Linked DNA regions of Macaca mulatta. The protein of the gene in region 2 purifies or fractionates together with the protein of the main gene of each other region. This does not show direct contact. Links are inferred from orthologs where the notes say so. Each region holds a gene or a part of one and is shown on either strand. Other genes may lie near its edges.

Evidence for each region. Proteins that work in one complex are often made in the same cells at the same time.
Region 1: the proteins of MCM4 (region 2) and SF3A1 fractionate together in Homo sapiens (co-fractionation; 3 studies listed by BioGRID, with this or other methods). This does not show direct contact. The link is inferred for Macaca mulatta from reciprocal best matches to the Homo sapiens genes MCM4 and SF3A1.
Region 3: the proteins of MCM4 (region 2) and SSRP1 purify together in Homo sapiens (affinity purification with mass spectrometry; 4 studies listed by BioGRID and IntAct, counting the BioPlex papers as one, with this or other methods). This does not show direct contact. The link is inferred for Macaca mulatta from reciprocal best matches to the Homo sapiens genes MCM4 and SSRP1.

The regions. Positions count from the first base shown.
Region 1 is NC_133415.1:21,187,163-21,193,161, reverse strand, and holds the start of SF3A1 (splicing factor 3A subunit 1), read right to left. Parts: upstream 3,667-5,999; 5' UTR 3,549-3,666; coding exon 3,486-3,548; exon of another isoform or gene 3,387-3,485; intron 365-3,386; coding exon 243-364; intron 1-242. UniProt on the Homo sapiens protein: Component of the 17S U2 SnRNP complex of the spliceosome, a large ribonucleoprotein complex that removes introns from transcribed pre-mRNAs.
Region 2 is NC_133413.1:58,511,370-58,517,268, forward strand, and holds part of MCM4 (DNA replication licensing factor MCM4), read left to right. Parts: coding exon 1-7; intron 8-1,669; coding exon 1,670-1,790; intron 1,791-4,042; coding exon 4,043-4,302; intron 4,303-4,768; coding exon 4,769-5,134; intron 5,135-5,598; coding exon 5,599-5,726; intron 5,727-5,899. UniProt on the Homo sapiens protein: Acts as a component of the MCM2-7 complex (MCM complex) which is the replicative helicase essential for 'once per cell cycle' DNA replication initiation and elongation in eukaryotic cells.
Region 3 is NC_133419.1:16,069,239-16,075,237, reverse strand, and holds the start of SSRP1 (FACT complex subunit SSRP1), read right to left. Parts: upstream 3,686-5,999; 5' UTR 3,615-3,685; exon of another isoform or gene 3,412-3,614; intron 3,130-3,411; 5' UTR 3,011-3,129; coding exon 2,957-3,010; intron 2,543-2,956; coding exon 2,357-2,542; intron 1,127-2,356; coding exon 1,021-1,126; intron 726-1,020; coding exon 535-725; intron 431-534; coding exon 200-430; intron 66-199; coding exon 1-65. UniProt on the Homo sapiens protein: Component of the FACT complex, a general chromatin factor that acts to reorganize nucleosomes. The FACT complex is involved in multiple processes that require DNA as a template such as mRNA elongation, DNA replication and DNA repair.

The DNA.
Region 1 (5,999 bases), on a different chromosome or scaffold from region 2:
CAGTTTTGGCAGCAGAGGCTCCTGGTGACTGCAGGGCTAAGTCTGATCCTCACTTTGGCTATTGCTATGCTGTGTCAGGGACACCAGTCCTACCTATTGCCTACCCCAATGCCATGCTGTGGTTTTTTATGAACTAAAAGGCCCAAGCCAACAACATCTCTTTAAAACCCTTTGTGCTGATTCAGTGCTGAAATCTCTTCATGCTGAAACCCACCTCTGACCCACCCAGGTAGCTCTGTTACCTGGCCACAAAGCTGGCAGTCTTGTCAACAATATTTCTGACCTCTGGAGGAGGGTAAATAATCCCCACAACTGGCTTAGAAGGTGCAGAATCCTCCTTTGAAGATGCTTCTTCTTCTGTGGGCTATGAAAACAGGAAAAGAAATAAGGTTTTAAAGTCCCTGGTTCAGAGCAGGTTCTCCACTATTACACTCCTCTAGGATATCATTCAGAGTAGACTTTCACTCACAGACTTCCCTCAGGTTAGAACCCTCTGCTTCAGAAAAGCAGTTCTCTTAAGTTCACTGCACCTGCGGGGGCTGCTCCTGGGGACCCAGGGAAACAGCAGCTTCCCTGGCTCCTCTCTAGTTGGACTGTCTCAGTGACACCAGGAATCTGCATTTTTACCAAATGCCCAGGTGATTCAGATGCAGGGACTCCGACTACATTCTGAGAAACCATGTTCCAGAATCCAGGCCATGTCTGGACTCCACGCACCCAGCGATGGGCTTGGCATGTAATTTTTAATGATTGTTTGCTGAATAAAGAAATGGGAAACTATTTGATGACAAATTCTTCTGCCCTGGATGCCCTCGCTCTTTGCCTCTACTCCACTGTCAACCAACATTCAATGCTCAGGTGTTTTGTGAAATTCCACTGGAATGTTCAGCATTAACTATGCCATAAGTACCAATATTTTTTCTCCAGCAGCTTCTTCCCCTTAGTAAACAAAGGGTCAAATCTCTTATCTTAGAAAAATGAAGTTTCTCCTCTGCCTCCATGTTCCTTTCTGCCGCTGCCTTCTCCCGCCCCATCCTCTGGCAGCTTAACATCCTGAGTTCTCTTCAGTTTGCTGATCCCACTTCCCTGCCTCCCATTTGGTCCCCATTCATTTTAAGTGCTCTTGACAAAGTCAAAAACGACTGCCCACAGCCATTATCTGGGTGTGAATGGTAACCACTCCTTCATGAAAACTCTCAACTCCTAGACCCCATTCTTACCTGTCTTCCCATCTTGCTCACCATTCCATCCAAGTTTCCTTCCTGGCCTGTTTCACCTCCTGCTCTGTGAAGTTGGAGATCCCCGCTCCCACCGCCCAATTCTGTTCTTGGTTCTCTTCTCAGTTTTGACAGTGTCCTCCACTTCCCCTCCTGCCTCTATACAATCTGGCCCAAACTGATGTCCCAGAACACTCTTGCGTACTGAACAGCTTCGGGTCCAGCTAACTACTGGGCACTTTCATCTCTAACCTCTTTCCTCAGGAATAGCTACTCAGTCGTCCATGCCACAAAGTTGGGGCTCCTCTCTCTTCCTCAGCTTCCACACTCAATAATAATAACATTGATCAAGTTGGGCACAATGGCTTGCACCTATAATCCCGGTGAGTCAGGAGGCTGAGGTAGGAGGATTGCTTGAGCCCAGGAATTCAAGGCTTCAGTAAGCTACGACTGCACCACTGCATTCCAGCCTGGGTGACAGAACGACACCCGGTCTCTTAAAAAAAACTTTTATCAAGCACTGAGTAGATTCCAGGTATTTTTCCCAAGCACTTTAAATATACTAATTCTTATAACTCTTATAAGAAGCCTATAAGATTAAGTACTCTTTTTTTTTGAGACTCTCTCTTGCTGTCGCCCAGGCTGGAGTGCAGTGGCATGATCTTGGCTCACTGCAACCTCCGCTTCCCAGGTTCAAGTAATTCTCTCCCGAATAGTGGGGATTACAAACATGCACCACACCTGGCTAATTTTTTTTACTTTTAGTAGAGACAGGGTTTTGCCATGTTGGCCAGGCTGGTCTCAAACTCCTGACCTCAAGTGATCTGTCTGCCTCGGCCTCCTAAAGTGCTGGAATTACACGCGTGAGCCACTGGGCCGGCCAAGTACTCTTAATATCTCCACATTACAGATGACAAAACTGAGAGATGGAGAGCTTAATGTCCAACTGGCAGAACCAGAATTCTAACACACCACTCTGGCTGGAAAGCCTGCCCACCCCTCTGCCCTAATCTAGGCCAGGCCTTCAGCCCCTTGGAATAGCGTGACTGGCCTCCCCTCCTCGTAGTGACTCTCCACATGCCTGCCTACCTGAATTTCTGAAACACAAATGTCACTATTTGGCTTAAAACTCTCCCTTTTCTTCCCATTGTCTACAAGGAAAAGTTCAAATCCTAAGAAAGAATTGCATCTCCTGTCACCACGCTCTATGCTTCAACACTTGTTCATTTACTCTTGATCAGAGACACCGTTTGATTCTTAACTCAGTGTCTTTGTGCATATTATCTGGCCATTACCTTATTTTCTCCCAACGCCTGGGAAAATGCCAGGGACACACAGGTACTTAAATATCTGTGGAAAAGGCATGGCTTCTTCAGTCATGTCCCCCTCATTCCAAACCCAAAGCAATGATCAGCATATATGCTCAATAAATATTTGCTGGATGAATAAAGGATGTTATTTCCCTTCCCTAGTCACCTGCCTGGCAAACTCCCATTCCTTCTTCTAAAAGAAATTTACCTCTCACTCCCGTGGGCTTCCCTACCTTAATATCCCTTCTACTCCAGCAAGCAATGTTGACTAGATTTGTACCTGAAACTTCTATCACAGGGCATATCACACCGTACTACAATGGTTTATACACATTTGAGATTCGAGAGGTTTATTAAGGGCGGGCTGACACTGTATCATTGACGGCCATCGGAACAATAAACATTTGGTGAGCATTCTCGTGTATCTGTCTTCTCGTTAGCCTGTGAGCTCCCCGTGCCCCATTCATTCCGGTAACGTGGGAGCGTGGCACGGTGTCTGGCTTGGGGCAGACACCGAAATAGATGCTGAGAATTAACATCCAAAGATGTACCGCCCAGGCTGGGAAAGTGGGCATTACTGGGGAAAGGCTGGGGCCGGTGGCCCCAACTGCCACAGAAGATCACAGGATGGGCTGGATCAGCGCCTCTCACACTTACAAATCAATCACCTTAGGATTTTGTTCAAATGTAAGATCCCTATTTAAAAGGTCTAGGGCGGAGACTCCACATTTCTAAGCTCTCGGCTCGTGCCGACGCGGCTGCTCCGCGGACCACTTTGAGAACCCCGTTCAGAGCAGCTGGTTTCGTTACCAGAACCACCACCATAGCGCGGGAAGCGCGCAGCCTCCTGGGATTTGCAGTCCCTCCAAGCCCTTCATAGCGGCCGCTTATTCCCGCTCAAGTAAGTAGCGCCCAGGCCCACGCTCCGGCTGCAGGTTGAGGGGCGGGGGAGAGGTACCTGTTTGGGCTCGGTGGCCACGGGCGGCGGCGGGGGCACCGCCTGCACGGGTCCGGCCGGCATGACTGCGACGCTGAGGGCTGCCAGTCCGCCTCGGTGTCGGTGAGGAGTGCCGCCTCAAGACAGCCTCCCCGCTCGAACAGTACGACGAGCTCGCAAAATGGCGGCAGCCGAGCGAGTTGTGGCCGCGAAGGTAAGACTGACGCACTTCCGGGACCGCCCCCTCGCCGTGGCGCGCTTCCTGCTCCTCCCCGCGGGCACCGCGGCGTCCGACGCCGTTGTCAAGGCAGCGGCTGGAGCTCCGGGCTAGGGGTTTCCGGGGTTCCCGGGAGCCGCAGGCGCGCCGGGGGCAGTTCCCGGGGCTGACCGGATACAGAGGCTGAAACCGCGACGCCGAAGACAGGTGAGATGTTCTACGTCACCCGCCGGACCTCCGCCGCACTCAGCTCGCGCCTCCTTTACTCTACAGTGCCTCGCTCAGTGCCAGTGCCTCGCTCCCTTCGACACCGCCTTCCAAGAGCCCAGCTCCCTCCCATTGGCCTCTCATTTCGGAGAGCCCCTGTGCCCTAAGGCTCGCCGCCTCAGAGCCCCGCTTCCCTATTCCCTTAGTCCCCCCTTTCATTTCAGGCCCACATCCTCCAAGCCGCTCTTCCAAATCCTACGCCCTTAATTCCCTTTTCCCATAGGCCTGCCTTTTCTTGCTTCCACCCCCTGCCTTCCGTAGTCCTGATCTCAAGCCCCACTGGGGCCTCCCTCTCAAATCAAGGCTGCTGCTTTTTCTTTCTTTTTTGTTTTTTTCTGAGACAAGGTCTTGTTCTGTCACCCAGGCTGGAGTGCAGTGGCGCGATCTTGGCTCACTGAAACCTCCGCCTCCCGAGTTCAATCGCTGAGTTCAAGCAATTGTCCTGCCTCAGCCTCCCGAGTGGCTGGGACTACAGGCGCCCACCACATCCGGCCGTGTGTGTGTGTGTGTGTGTGTGTGTGTGTGTGTGTTTTGTAGAGACGGGGTTTCACCACGTTGGCCAGGCTGGTCTCGAACTCCTGACCTCAAATGATCCTCCCGCCTCGGCTTCCCAAAGTGTTAGGGTTACAGGCGTGAGCCACCGCGCCCGGCCAGTTTTAAAATTTTTTTTGTAGGGACGTGGGAGGACGTCTCCCTATGTTGCCCAGGCTGGTCTCAAACTCATGGAGTCAAGCAATCCTCCCACCTGGCCTCCCAAAGTGCTGGGGTTACACGCATGAGCCATCACTCAGGGCTGCTGCTTTAGGCTTCACCCCTCACTCTCACAGGTGCGCCCCTGCAAGCTATGCAGCTCGCTCCCCAGAGGCCTACCTCGACTCCTGCCGGCTTTCTCTCCCTCTCCTGAGATCCCCACCCCCTTCCTCCCCTCCTCAACTCCGGAAAGCCCGGAGCTGGCTGGGAACCTTGCCTGGCTTTCAGTTTCCTCACCTGTGAAATGAGGGAGTGATAGGAAGGGTTGCTCTCTCCAGTCTTCCCCCTCCCCCGCACACATCGTAGTTGTGTGTCATGGTTGTTATTAATGTAGAATAATGATAGCTAGGATGTATTGGTCATTTGCTATGAGCCGGATCCTGTGCCCAACACTTCATGTATTACGTCATTTATTCCTTATAGCACCCTATTTACAAATGAGGACAGTGAAGTTTGGAGTTGGTAGAGTGGGAATGCAAGCTCAAGCCAGTCTTATTCCTCTACTAGTGCAGTTAGTTATTCTTTTGTCCTCAGTCCCTTCAGCGTCCCCAGGGATCCAGGCAATTAACAATCTCATGTTTGAGACTGGCATCTGCCACATAGCTGGTTTTAGAGTTTCCCATGTTTTCGTGGTGGTGACTTTGAATCTCAGCAGTCACCCTGGCTGGGAAGTAGGCGTCATTTTTACCAGTAGGTTAGGGTACTAGGTCTCAGAGAAGGTGCTGGAATGTTGAACGGAAGTGTAGGAAAGGCTCCTGCTCTTCTCTGGGAGTCAAAAGTCCGCCTTGAGCCCCAGGAAATTGAGGAGAGGCAGAGATAGCTGCTGCTCCTTCCTAAGGGTTCAATTAGTGCAGTCACCTATGTGTTCCTGGGTACAGTGCAGGGCTGGCAGCCTCAGACTGAGGGTTCCACTCAAGAGCGAGGAATTACAGAGAGCTCATGTCAAGTGCTTTTTCACTTGACATGCACGTAAGTACTTCTTTTTTTTTTTCTTTTTTTTTTTTTTTTTTTTGAGACGGAGTCTTGCTCTGTCGCCCAGGCTGGAGTGCTGGAGTGCAGTGGCACAATCTCGGCTCACTGCAAGCTCCGCCTCCTGGGTTCACGCCATTCTCCTGCCTCAGCCTCCCGAGTAGCTGGGACTACAGGCGCCTGCCACTATGCCCGGCTAATTTTTTGTGTTTTTTAGTAGAGACGGGGTTTCACTGTGTTAGCCAGGATGGTCTCGATCTCCTGACCTCATGATCCACCCGCCTCGGCCTCCCAGAGTGCTGGGATTACAGGCGTGAGCCACCACACCCGGC
Region 2 (5,899 bases):
GCAGATGGTGCGCAGCCACCCTGGCCCCCCAGGCTATGCTTTGCCTGTCTGTATCCTCAAAAGCCGACTATAACTTGTCCCTCGGACCCTGAGCCTCACTTCCCGAATGGCATCCATCCCTCTCTGGTCTTGTGGGTTTCATTAGTGGCCTATGGGCTAAATACGCAGAGCACACAAAGGCCCTGCTTCAGGGCACTGTCCCTGTGCGGTTGCCAGTAGTACTGTCTGTTGTTAGAGACGTCATATTTTCATGGCCTAAAATGCTTCAAACATTTGAGATGAGAATACTTAGTTAAATGTCGTTCTGCGGTTTTTCCATTGGTAAAGGATGGAGGAATTTTTCTGAAATTTTTTCACAAATTTTATTGTCTAAGAAGTTTGGTCTTTTTCGGCTGGGCTTGGTGGCTCACGCCTGTAATCCCAGCACTTTGGGTGGCCGAGGCGGGCGGATCACAAGGTCAGGAGATCGAGACCATCCTGGCTAACGGTGAAACCCTGTCACTACTAAAAAAAAAAAAAATACAAAAAAATTAGCCAGGCATGGTGGCGGGCGCCTGTAGTCTCAGCTACTCGGGAGGCTGAGGCAGGAGAATGGCAGGAACCCAGGAGGCAGAGCTTGCCGTGAGCTGAGATTGCACCACTGCACTCCAGCCTGGGCAACAGTGAGACTGTCTCAAAAAGAAAAAAAAAGTTTGCCCTTTTTTCTCTCTATTCGTGAAATTGTAAGATGAAGTTACTAAAATGACAGAAATAAGTGAGGGGAAGGTAGAAAATTGCTTATTTACTGTGATTGTAACTGTAAAGATGTGGGAGGACAGAATTTGAGTTTTTCTGTGACAGTGTGTGCATGGTTTCTTTAATGTTGCATGAGACAGAGCTGGAGACAGAAAGGCAGGCACCTTGTTCCCCAGGAGCATATGGCCTCCTATTCTCAGAATCCTGCAGGCCCCCAAAGTGGCTTAGAGAAAAGCCCAGCAGCCTTAGGCCTCTCAGAGGGTACCTGGTTTGGAAAGGCCTTCCTCGACCCTGCTTTATGAAAAGCATCTCAGCTTCCCCCACCACAGCTCCCTACATTCCTTCCCCTGTTTTGTTGCTGTCTGCTGCATTTGTCACTGTCACATGTTATGTGCTCATTTTTCTGTATATTATCTGCCCCTTCCACTCCATGAGGCAGGGAACATTGTTCACTATCGGGTCCCTGACACCTAGGATGGGCTGTAGCACAAGCTGGGTGCGCCACAGATACCTGTTAGATGAGTGGATGCAGGCAGGGTTGTGAGGTGCGCAGGCATGCCCGACAGTGGGCCTTAAGAATGTGTGTTGCAGCCGGGCATAGTGGCATGCGCTTGTAATCCCAGCTACTCGGGAGGCTGAGGCAGGAGAATCACTTGAACCTGGGAGGTGGAGGTTGCGGTGAGCTGAGATCGCACCATTGCACTCCAGCCTGGGCAATAAGTGAAACCCCATCTCAAAAAAAAAAAAAATGTATGCTGCTCTACCCAGGAGATCTAGAAGTAACTTCTAAAGCATTAATGAGAAACATGGACAAACATTTATGCGGGGATATGCACTGCAGCCTTACATGGCGAAAGCAGTACAAAGACATGCAGATTTTTGTCCTCCTGCACTCTCTTTGTGGCCCACATGTTCTCTGTTTGCTGCCCTTCAGATCAAGCTTCAAGAGTCTCCAGAAGACATGCCTGCAGGGCAGACACCACATACAGTCATCCTATTTGCTCACAATGATCTGGTTGACAAGGTTCAGCCTGGGGACAGAGTGAATGTTACAGGTAAGAGTGTAGGTTTGCATCAGCACTTTAGCATGTCTGTCTTGTTTTCAATGCTGTGCTTTAGTGAGTCATTGGACTCAGTCACAGGTCCAGTTCTGCCTGCAGTTGTCACTGCATGTCTTTGAGACTGTGGGGTATATCCCCAGTTTATCTGCCACCTTTTTAACTGAGTACCACTGCCCAGCGTCATGAAATTGTTCAGTTCTTCTCAAACTTGAATGTTGGAACTCATGGTTTGTGCGGTCACTCGCCTCTTGATATCTCAGTATCCTGGAACTATGTGTGTCTCAAGTCAGTACTGTTGGCATCATGAGACAGCAGCCTCAGATAGGCTGGTATGGGTAGAGTTTGAGTTATGCCATTAGCTAAGTATTATCAATGCTGGAGTTGTAAGTAATTTTTACTTATTTCCCAAATGTGTAGCCAGGGGTTAACATTTGTTTGTTACAGAGAAGAATGAGTCAGAGTGACTTGTTTCCATGTATAGAAGCTGAGGTTCAGGGATGCATAGACAGCAGTAGCTCAGATGCCACGGTAAATCAGGACCCAGGACTCCTTCTCTTGCTGCCACGAGAGTGTTCTTTGCACAGCACCACATGAGTGTGGCAGTCTTCCTTTTGAATCTGTAGAGTCACAATAGATTTTGGTTGGCGGCAAGGGAGTGTTGATGGCAGCACAGTTCTTCATTGATGGGCAAGGTGGCAACGGTCACAGAGTGCCTGAATCTGCTCCTGAGCGGAGAGCCTGGGGCACACCACGCATCGGCCTTTGTCTTCAGTGAGGCAGTGCTCACCCTGTTTCTTCCCCAGTGTGAAGTCCCGCAGTTGTCACTGGCAGTCTTCTGTTGTAAAAGTACTTGTAGTCATTGAGAATTAAAATAATGCGTAGTCTTTAGTGAGTGACGTGCATATTTCCAGTCCTGCTACCCTGAAACCTTTGATAAAGTATTTAATCCAATATTTTAGTTTCCTCACCTACAAAGTGGAGTTAATGTGATGATACATGTGTGAGAGTATTTGGGGCCTAGGGGCTGTGGAAAGTGCTGTGTAGATATGAAATAAGTATCAATGCTGCTCTGTGAGATAAATCATCATGGGCCACTTTAAACATAGTCGTCCATCCCTAGCCTATATTGGAGTGAAGAATAGTGTGTATTCTAAGAATGCATGTAAACTGGTTTGTTGTGTTAAATAAGAATTACACCAACCCACTAAATGAGCAAGACTCTGTGCCATTGTGTTGAGATAGCTGTAAGGGGGAAAGGCCGGACTTTCTCCAAAAGCTGCAGGAATCAGCCTAGAGTTAAAGGCTTCTGGTTTGAAATCCAGAAAAGACGAATATCAGATCAGACTTCTGTATGTGGGGAGCCTGCCTTCCAGAAGAATGCATGATTTGCATGCTTTTGTCAGGGGTGGTGGGCGGGGGGTGGGACCTAGTCTAGTTTTAATGGCTGGAGGATTTTAGCATTTTGTTGAAGTCAAGTAAGTGCTAAGCAGATTCTGTACACTCAACTTAGGGAAGTAAAAATACTGCTTATTAAATACAACCACAAACCCAGCATTGAGCCAGAAGCACAGCAGCTCCATTTCACCCTCAGGGTGACTATGCCCGTGGAGGTGCTCATGTAGCTACAGTTGCCCTGGAGCACTGCTGACTAGTGGGCCCAGGTGAACACGTCCTCGGCTCTGTCATTTACAGAAACCTTGATTCTTTCTCTTTTTGTTTTGTTTTTGAGAGAAGAGTTTCGCTCTTGTTGCCCAGGCTGGAGTCCAATGGCAGGATCTTGGCTCACCGCAACCTCCACCTCCTAGGTTCAAGCCATTCTCCTGCATCAGCCTCCTTAGTAGCTGGGATTAAAGGCGTGTGCCACCACGCCTGGCTAATTTTTATATTTTTAATAGAGACAGGGTTCTCCATGTTGATTAGGGTGGTCTCGAGCTCCTAACCTCAGGTAATCCGCCTGCCTCAGTCTCCCAAAGTTCTAGGAATACAGACATGAGCCACCTGGGTTCTTTCGAGCTTGTCCGTTTCCTGCTGCTGTTTCCCCGCTTGCTCAGTAGGCGGGAGCTTTGCAATGTGGGTCTGAGTCCTGGGCTTGGGAGGGTCATTTAAGAGATGGTGGAGCTCACCTTTCCAGGGCCAGCCCAGTGTGGTGCCTCGCTCTGAAGTGCACCTGTTGCCTACGCTGGTTGCTGAGCCACTCGGAGGAAGATATGGGAAGGTAAAAGTGCATCTCCTGGTTGTGCCCTCAGGCATCTATCGAGCAGTGCCTATTCGAATCAATCCAAGAGTGAGTAATGTGAAGTCTGTCTACAAAACCCACATTGATGTCATTCATTATCGGAAAACGGATGCAAAACGTCTGCATGGCCTTGATGAAGAAGCAGAACAGAAACTTTTTTCAGAGAAACGTGTGGAATTGCTTAAGGAACTTTCCAGGAAACCAGACATTTATGAGAGGCTTGCTTCAGCCTTGGCTCCAAGCATTTATGAACATGAAGATATAAAGAAGGTAACAGTGGATTTTAAACTAGGGGTTGGGATTTACAGTTCTTTAGAATCAAATAGTATAAACATCCACTCCGCCACTTAAGCCATTTGCCATAAAGGATGCAAGCTGTGGCCTGTTAGAGCAAGTGCTGGCAACCGGACTTGCCATTGGTTGAGGAGAGTCATAGCATTGTCTATCCTCATCTCTGCTCTAAACTTAAGTTTCTAAACAGAAGAGGCCACACAGTATCAGAATAGGGAGAGGGACTTGCATGGCCATCATTCTGGCATAATGATGGGTGCTGATGAATAAATTGGTCAGTGATAACTTAGAGCATATCAAGCACTTTCAGGAGCCTTTTTATACCTTCCTGCGATTTCCGAATTGTAGTTCTTTATAGAGAGAAAAGTACCTCTAAAGTTTAAACTACATCTCAGTTACTGTGCAGAAAATGAATGTTTAGACATGTCTCTGTTTGATTATTTAGGGAATTTTGCTTCAGCTCTTTGGCGGGACAAGGAAGGATTTTAGTCACACTGGAAGGGGCAAATTTCGGGCTGAGATCAACATCTTGCTGTGTGGTGACCCTGGTACCAGCAAGTCCCAGCTGCTGCAGTACGTGTACAACCTCGTCCCCAGGGGCCAGTACACTTCTGGGAAGGGCTCCAGTGCAGTTGGCCTTACTGCGTACGTAATGAAAGACCCTGAGACAAGGCAGCTGGTCCTGCAGACAGGTGCCCTTGTCCTCAGTGACAACGGCATCTGCTGTATCGATGAGTTCGACAAGATGAATGAAAGTACAAGATCGGTATTGCATGAAGTCATGGAACAGCAGACTCTGTCCATTGCAAAGGTGAGTTGCCTTCTCCACTGTGAATGTGGACATGTTTAAAATACGTGGACCCTTGAAAGACAGCGTATGTGGAACTGTGCTGTGCTACCTTGGTTCTAACTTGGGGAGATTGATATGTGCTTTTCACATCATATTTCAGCTAAATCTCTACATATCTTCAACAGGATATCATGTTTTGTCTTTATTGCTGTACTAGCCTTGAATTTGTCCTAAAGCTCTTGCAAGGTGCCTGCTTCCTGAGAAAGACGTGGTTATAGCACGCATTCATCTAAACTCAGTCCTTGTCATGAATCTGAGGACAAGGCTTATCCAGGTGAACTGCTGAAGTCAGTAAAGGCAACATGGCTCAGGCAATAGAAATGCTGTAGAGGGAATATGGGTTTAGTAGGTGGCCGGGCAAAGATGGTACTTGTTAATTGCCAGCGTCAGGGAGAGGCTTCTAACCGCACTGTTTTCTCTGATAGGCTGGGATCATCTGTCAGCTCAATGCACGCACCTCTGTCCTGGCAGCAGCAAATCCCATTGAGTCTCAGTGGAATCCTAAAAAAACAACCATTGAAAACATCCAGCTGCCTCATACTTTATTATCAAGGTATTAAAACAGATTTTTATTTTGTTCATTTGTAGAATATTCAGGGTGAGATTGAAAAGGAGCTACTAAGATTCAGCAACTGCTAATGGAAACTCTTCACTCTTATCAAGATGTTTCAAATTTGGTTGGTCAAGAGTTTTCACGACAAGGATGATGCGTGTTTTCATTTGATT
Region 3 (5,999 bases), on a different chromosome or scaffold from region 2:
GAGAAGAGGAGGATCAGGAAGTGGTAGCGAGTTTGGCCTTGCTTGATTGGGGGGTCCAGGCTGATCTAGTAAGGAAGAGCACCAATTGATACTCTACAACAACTTGCGATTCACTAACATAGAATTCTGCACACCAGTGAGGTCCGTCTACTTAACACGCAAAAACCACGATTATCCGGCCATAGGGGTTTCGGCTTACCACAAAGAACATCTGTCGCTGGTCCTTGTGGGGTAACAAAAACAGACGCAGCACTGTGGTATAGGGGATCTTGTAGTCAAAGGTCTTGCCATGCAGGTGCAGAAAGGTGGGGTAGATCCGAATGTCGTAACGCCCTCGAGGAGTCAGACACTGCAGCTCCCGGAAGATGCAGATGGCATCTCCCGTGGCCTGGATTACATCCGCCTTCGACAACACATTCTGGGCAAAGGCCTGCAAAAAGCACACATTGGTAACCAAGCAGCAGGCCCTGCTCCCAGGCCAGCCAATGCCTGCTCAGCACCATCTGCTGCCAAGGCAACCAGGGGACGCCTCACCTCAACAGGGTCCACACCATCCTCCTGGGTGGGAGGGACATAAAAGCGGACCTCCATGAGAGACACCTCTGCGTCATCGTTTTGGTGGAATTCCAGTGTCACCTCATTCTTGCCAGTGGTGCACTGGGACACATTGCTGAGGGGTATCTCAAAGACTGGCTGGTCACCAATGTCAAAGGAAAGCAGCTGCCCTGTGAGGAAAGGGCTTGTCAAGCCACAAGCTCCTCCCCTTAAGTCTGCATAAGCAACATTCCCACCAAACTTGAGTTCCACAGAGACAGGATACTGGGGTTAGTCTTTTTACACTGTAACCCCAACCCCAGGCACAGTGCCCAGTAAACTGTAGGTACTCAATAAACACACGATGAACATGCAAACAGATAGGAAACCAGAGACAGTGGCAGAAGGAAAAGAGCAAAACAAGTAAAAGGCTGAAGCCCTTCACCCTATCTTCCTCCCCAAACCTCAGTCTTCCCCAGGACTCACCACCAAATTTCACTGTCCCCCAGTTCCAGCCCTTCACACAAAGGTCCTTCTCCATTAGCTCAAGGCGATAGTGAGTTTTGAAGAAATCAGAGAGTTTCTCAAACTCCTGTGGGTGGAGGGAAGAAAACGCAATCCCAGTAAACCCTGGTGGCCTTAACACCGACTTGAATGTCCTGGGATTATCTATTTCTGAGAAACTGTCCCAAATAGGCTTTATAAGAAACTCTTGCTGCCGGGCGTGGTGGCTCACGCCTGTAATCCCAGCACTTTGGGAGGCCGAGGCGGGTGGATCACGAGGTCAGGAGATTGAGACCATCCTGGTTAACACGGTGAAACCCCGTCTCTATTAAAAATACAAAAAATTAGCCGGGCGAGGTGGTGGGCGCCTGTAGTCCCAGCTACTCGGAAGGCTGAGGCAGGAGAATGGTGTGAACCCAGGAGGCAGAGCTTGCAGTGAGCCGAGATCGCGCCACTGCACTAGAGCCTGGGCGACAGAGCAAGACTCCGTCTCAAAAAAAAAAAAAAAAAAAAGAAACTCATGATGACTTAGCAACCCAGCTCTAACATTGTTTAAAAGATGGTTTAGAGAGGTTGCTTCTAGCCACTGGATCTGACATTCCTGGTTATGGGTCATCTGATTTTATAAACTTTGTATAGGTATTACTTTAATGAAAGTGGAAATTAAAATCAAATAAAGCCTTTAACTCAAGCAGTTCAAAATGGAAACCCACACTTTAAGACATCAAGCTAGCCAGGCGCAATGGCTCATGCCTGTAATCTCAACGCTTTGGGAGGCCAAGGTGGGCGATCCCTTGAGTCTGAGAGCTCAAGACCAGACTGGGTAACGTGGCGAAACCCCATTTCTACCAAAAATTATGAAAAATCAGCTGGGCATGGTGGCATGTGCCTGTGGTACCAGATATTCAGGAGGCTGAGGTGGAAGGATTACTTGAACCCACGAGGCAGAGGCTGCAGTGAGCGGAGATTGCGCCACTGCACTCCAGCCTGGGTGACAGAGCGAGGCCCTGTCTCAAAAAAAAAAAAAAAAAACACAAAAAGACATCAAGCTAAGATCCTGAACCTTGATAAAAGTCACAGGTAGAAACTAGTATCTAAATCAAGACAGAAGAAAATCTTCTGGAGTCAAGGCACACAGAAATTCACAAGACTTCAACACTCAAAGCCGAACACTGATTGCCTCATGGCCTCACAGTCCTGCTCTAAGGAGCCCAAACTAGCAATCACAGGGTTACATGAGGAAGGAACCTCGAGTCTCTAGAAGATTAAAACAAGATGATGCAGTAAAAAGGGGGTTTATAGCTATGGGACAGCTCACCGATTCTCGGAAGCCATCATACTTGTAGACATGGCCATTCTTTGTAAGCAGTTTAAGTCCATGGCCCAGAGCAACACGGCGCCAGATGCCTTCTGTTAACTCCCCAGCCTGGATGTTGTCCACTTTCCCCGTCTTGCTGTTCTTGAAGATGATGCCCTGGCGGCTCAACCTCAGTCGACCATCATTCTGTAAGAAAAGCAGGCCCAGATGCATGGGGACAGTACACAGCATGTCCTGGGTCCAGTTCTACCCAACACACTTTCCAGCTGCGAGTGGGCTGGGCAGACTGTCAATGCAGGAGCAACAGCTGAGGTGCAAGGAGTCTAGATTCCACACCAGGCTCTGGTATTTAGAATCCTTAACAGATTCTCAGTTTCCTCATTTGTAAAACAGGAATTGGGAACTGAAGAGCATATACGGTCCCTATAACTCTGAGACTATCTCTCAGTATTGCCTCGTGTTGGGGGAGACACTAGGTACACGTTATACTGAGTCTTCTTTTTCCAAAATAACATTACCAAAGCAAGCTCTCGTTAATGGACAAAAACTCTACCCTCCTTCCTTCTCTCTACTTGTATCAACTGCCCAAGCCATTCTCACCATGGAGCCTTTCACCTCCTGATAGATGTCGTTGAACTCCAGTGTCTCTGCCATGTCGACCCCTGCCTGTGGTGGCCTGGGCAGAGCCCCAGGCTGCACAAGGGAAACCGAGTAAACTGGGGGCTGGGCCCCAACTCCTGAGTGGGTGGGCGGATGCTCAGCAGGTTGGGAATCTAAATTCAAGAGGAAGACAGATAAGCATGAAAGACAGCACCTCGCTGTGCTCACGGATGGAGCACAGCAGCAACTCCCAACTGCGCCTGGGATGTCTCAGGATTTCCTCTGCCTGGAAACCTACAGACGGACGCTGCAGCGCTCGAGGGTCCAGGCCTAAGCCCAGGTGGAGAACCGGGCCTGGAATACCGCTGACACCCAACCCGATGCCCGCTCTAGCCGCTCTGGCGGGAGCCATGGCAACGAGCAGCGGAACCCCAGGGTCAGCCCGGAGCCCGCACCTCGCACGCGCCCCAATCCAGCTCAGAGTGCAGGGTTTCCCTCGCAGCGCTCCCACCACCCCGCGGGCCTCCGGTTCACCCCCGCCCCACAGGATGGATTCGCCCGCTCCCCGCGGTTTCGAACGCGGAATGGTCCATGTCGAGCGTCCCTTGGGGGAGGGGCGCCCCTGCCTTCCTGGGACCGGGGGACGACCACCACCTACCTCCTCAGGCTGCAGCCTCGCGAGGGCCCCGGCGCAGGAGGTGGGCGCGCTGGGGGGACGCGGTGGGGCGGGGGATGGGGGGGACACCGGGGAAGCTTTTCCCGCGTGCGCGGCCCCGCGTCCCGCCACCGGAAGCCGTGCACAGGCCACAGAGACGACGAGCTGGCTAGAGAGACGCGAGCCCGGCCCGCCTGCGAGACAGTCGCATAGAGCGTCAGCGACTCTGGAGGACCTGAGGGAAGAGTGGTTGCCGTGAAGTCTCTCTCAGCCGGGTGGAATCTGCCTAGAAAATTTGTGTAGGGCTCTTTAGAAACTACAGACACTTCTTCAGTGGAGACTAGATACTGAAGAGAAATTGTGTAGTTGTATTGTATCAGACTTAGCTTAGTACAGGAATGGGGTGGGGGTGTGTGTTGAAATGATGCGTGCCCGTTTCTCTGCAAAATAGTTTCTGTGTCATGGAGAGGAGTCGATGGAACACGAAGAAAAGTATTTGAACAGTTGTGGGAAGAAACGACCTCTCGCACTGGCTGCGGAGAGAATGCGGGTGTTGGTGTCACCGTGGGTGCACTGCTTTCTGGCTGACCTGTCAAGTTCGCCGTCTACACCCAAAATTTTCACATCCCTAACCGAAATGTATAGGTCCCCCCAAGAGGCTGACAAATGGCCGTATCCAGTTCAAGTCCTGGTATCAGATTCACTTTGGAGCCAGAACTGATTTGAAACCACATCATCCTGGGGTTGCGGAAGCCAGCTCTCCCTCATATAGTCCCAGAGTGCATTTTTGCAACATCAGAGACCAGACCTGGAAAATATATTTTAGTTTTTCTACCCCAACCTCTTTTTACTGATGGGAATACTGAGACCCAAAGGGGAGTGAGTTGCCCAGGGTCTCAGTGCGTTGGCAACAAGGCTAGGACACAGACCTCCTTACCACCACCAGTCCAGTTATCTTCTGTCATAATCACAGTGACTGTATGTTCAGAATGATTGATGATATGTGTCCTACATGAAGACATTAGTACAGAATATGTAAACTCAAGATTTCCCTGACAATCAGTACACCAGCTTGCTAACTCAATCCTGAGGTAAGAGACAACAGGAATGCACCCTTCTCCCCTGAATTCATAGCTTTAACCTCTGAGTAGTGGCTATTCCAGCATTATCTAGCAATATAAATTCAACTGGGTTTAATAGATAGATATTGAGGGCCTATGACTAATTTAGCACACTTCTCGGATTTGAGGAACTTGAACAAGACGAAAACATCCCTGGCTGGGCGCAGTGGCTCACACCTGTAATCCCAGCACTTGGGGAGGCCGAGGTAGGCAGATCACTTGAGGTCAGGAGTTCAAGACCAGCCTGGCCAATGTGGAAGCCCCGTCTCTATTAAAAATACAAAAATTAGCCAGGCATGGTGGCGGGTGCCTATAATCCCAGCTACTTGGGAGGCTGAGGCACAAGAATTGCTTGAACCCAGGAGACAGAGGTTGCAGTGAGCTGAGATCGTGCCACTGCACTCCAGTCTGGGCAACAGAGCGAGTCTCTGCCAAAAAAAGAAAAAGAAAAAGAAAAAAAAAATGGAAGGAAGGAAGAAAAGAAAGAGAAGGAAGGAAGGAAGAAAGAAAGAAAGACCCAGCCCCAACCTTTCGGGAAAACATAATCTAACAAATGATTTTGATAAATAAACTGAAAAAAAAAAAAAAAGAAGTGCTAACTGCTATGCTACAGGTAGAGTGAAACTCATTACCAACTGGAGTTAGAAATATGTGAGTCTTTACTCATCACACCCCAGAAGACCCAGAAAAACTTTCAAGAGACCCTCTCCCCCTGACCCATGCCACTGGGGGCAATTCAGGAAAGGAGGGGACGGCTGCAGAACTGGGTGGAATTTGGCTGGCACTCAGGAATGAAGGCGGTCTTCAGTTCAGGCAGGCTGTTAGGTGACTAGGGGACGGGAAATTGCAAAGGGCTTTAGGGAGAGCGTGAGCAGCTGGTGAGCTGGGATGAGGATGCTGCAGAAGAGAACAGAACAGAAACAGTAGACAGAGTGCAGATAAAACATTAGTCCCAGAGGGCTCCAGCCAGCTACATCCCAGGCAATCAGGAGCCCAGGATTGGAGACCCCACCCCTGCTGTGACATCACAGGGGAGTGGGGTGGAGACGAACAAAAAGGGGGTCCCCCGCCCTGGTCTCTTGGAAGCCAGAGTATCAAGAGAAGAGAGAACCTGACTAGGGTTGCCTGGCTTAAAGGGACAGGCTCCCCAGTCCTCCGACCCCTCTAAGCTGCCCCCTCCAGGTCGTGATCCTGTCTCCCTGTCCTGTGGGACCTCCCTCTCCTGAGGCCACCACTGGGCCCCCTTCTGAGTGTCCCCTGAGCACTC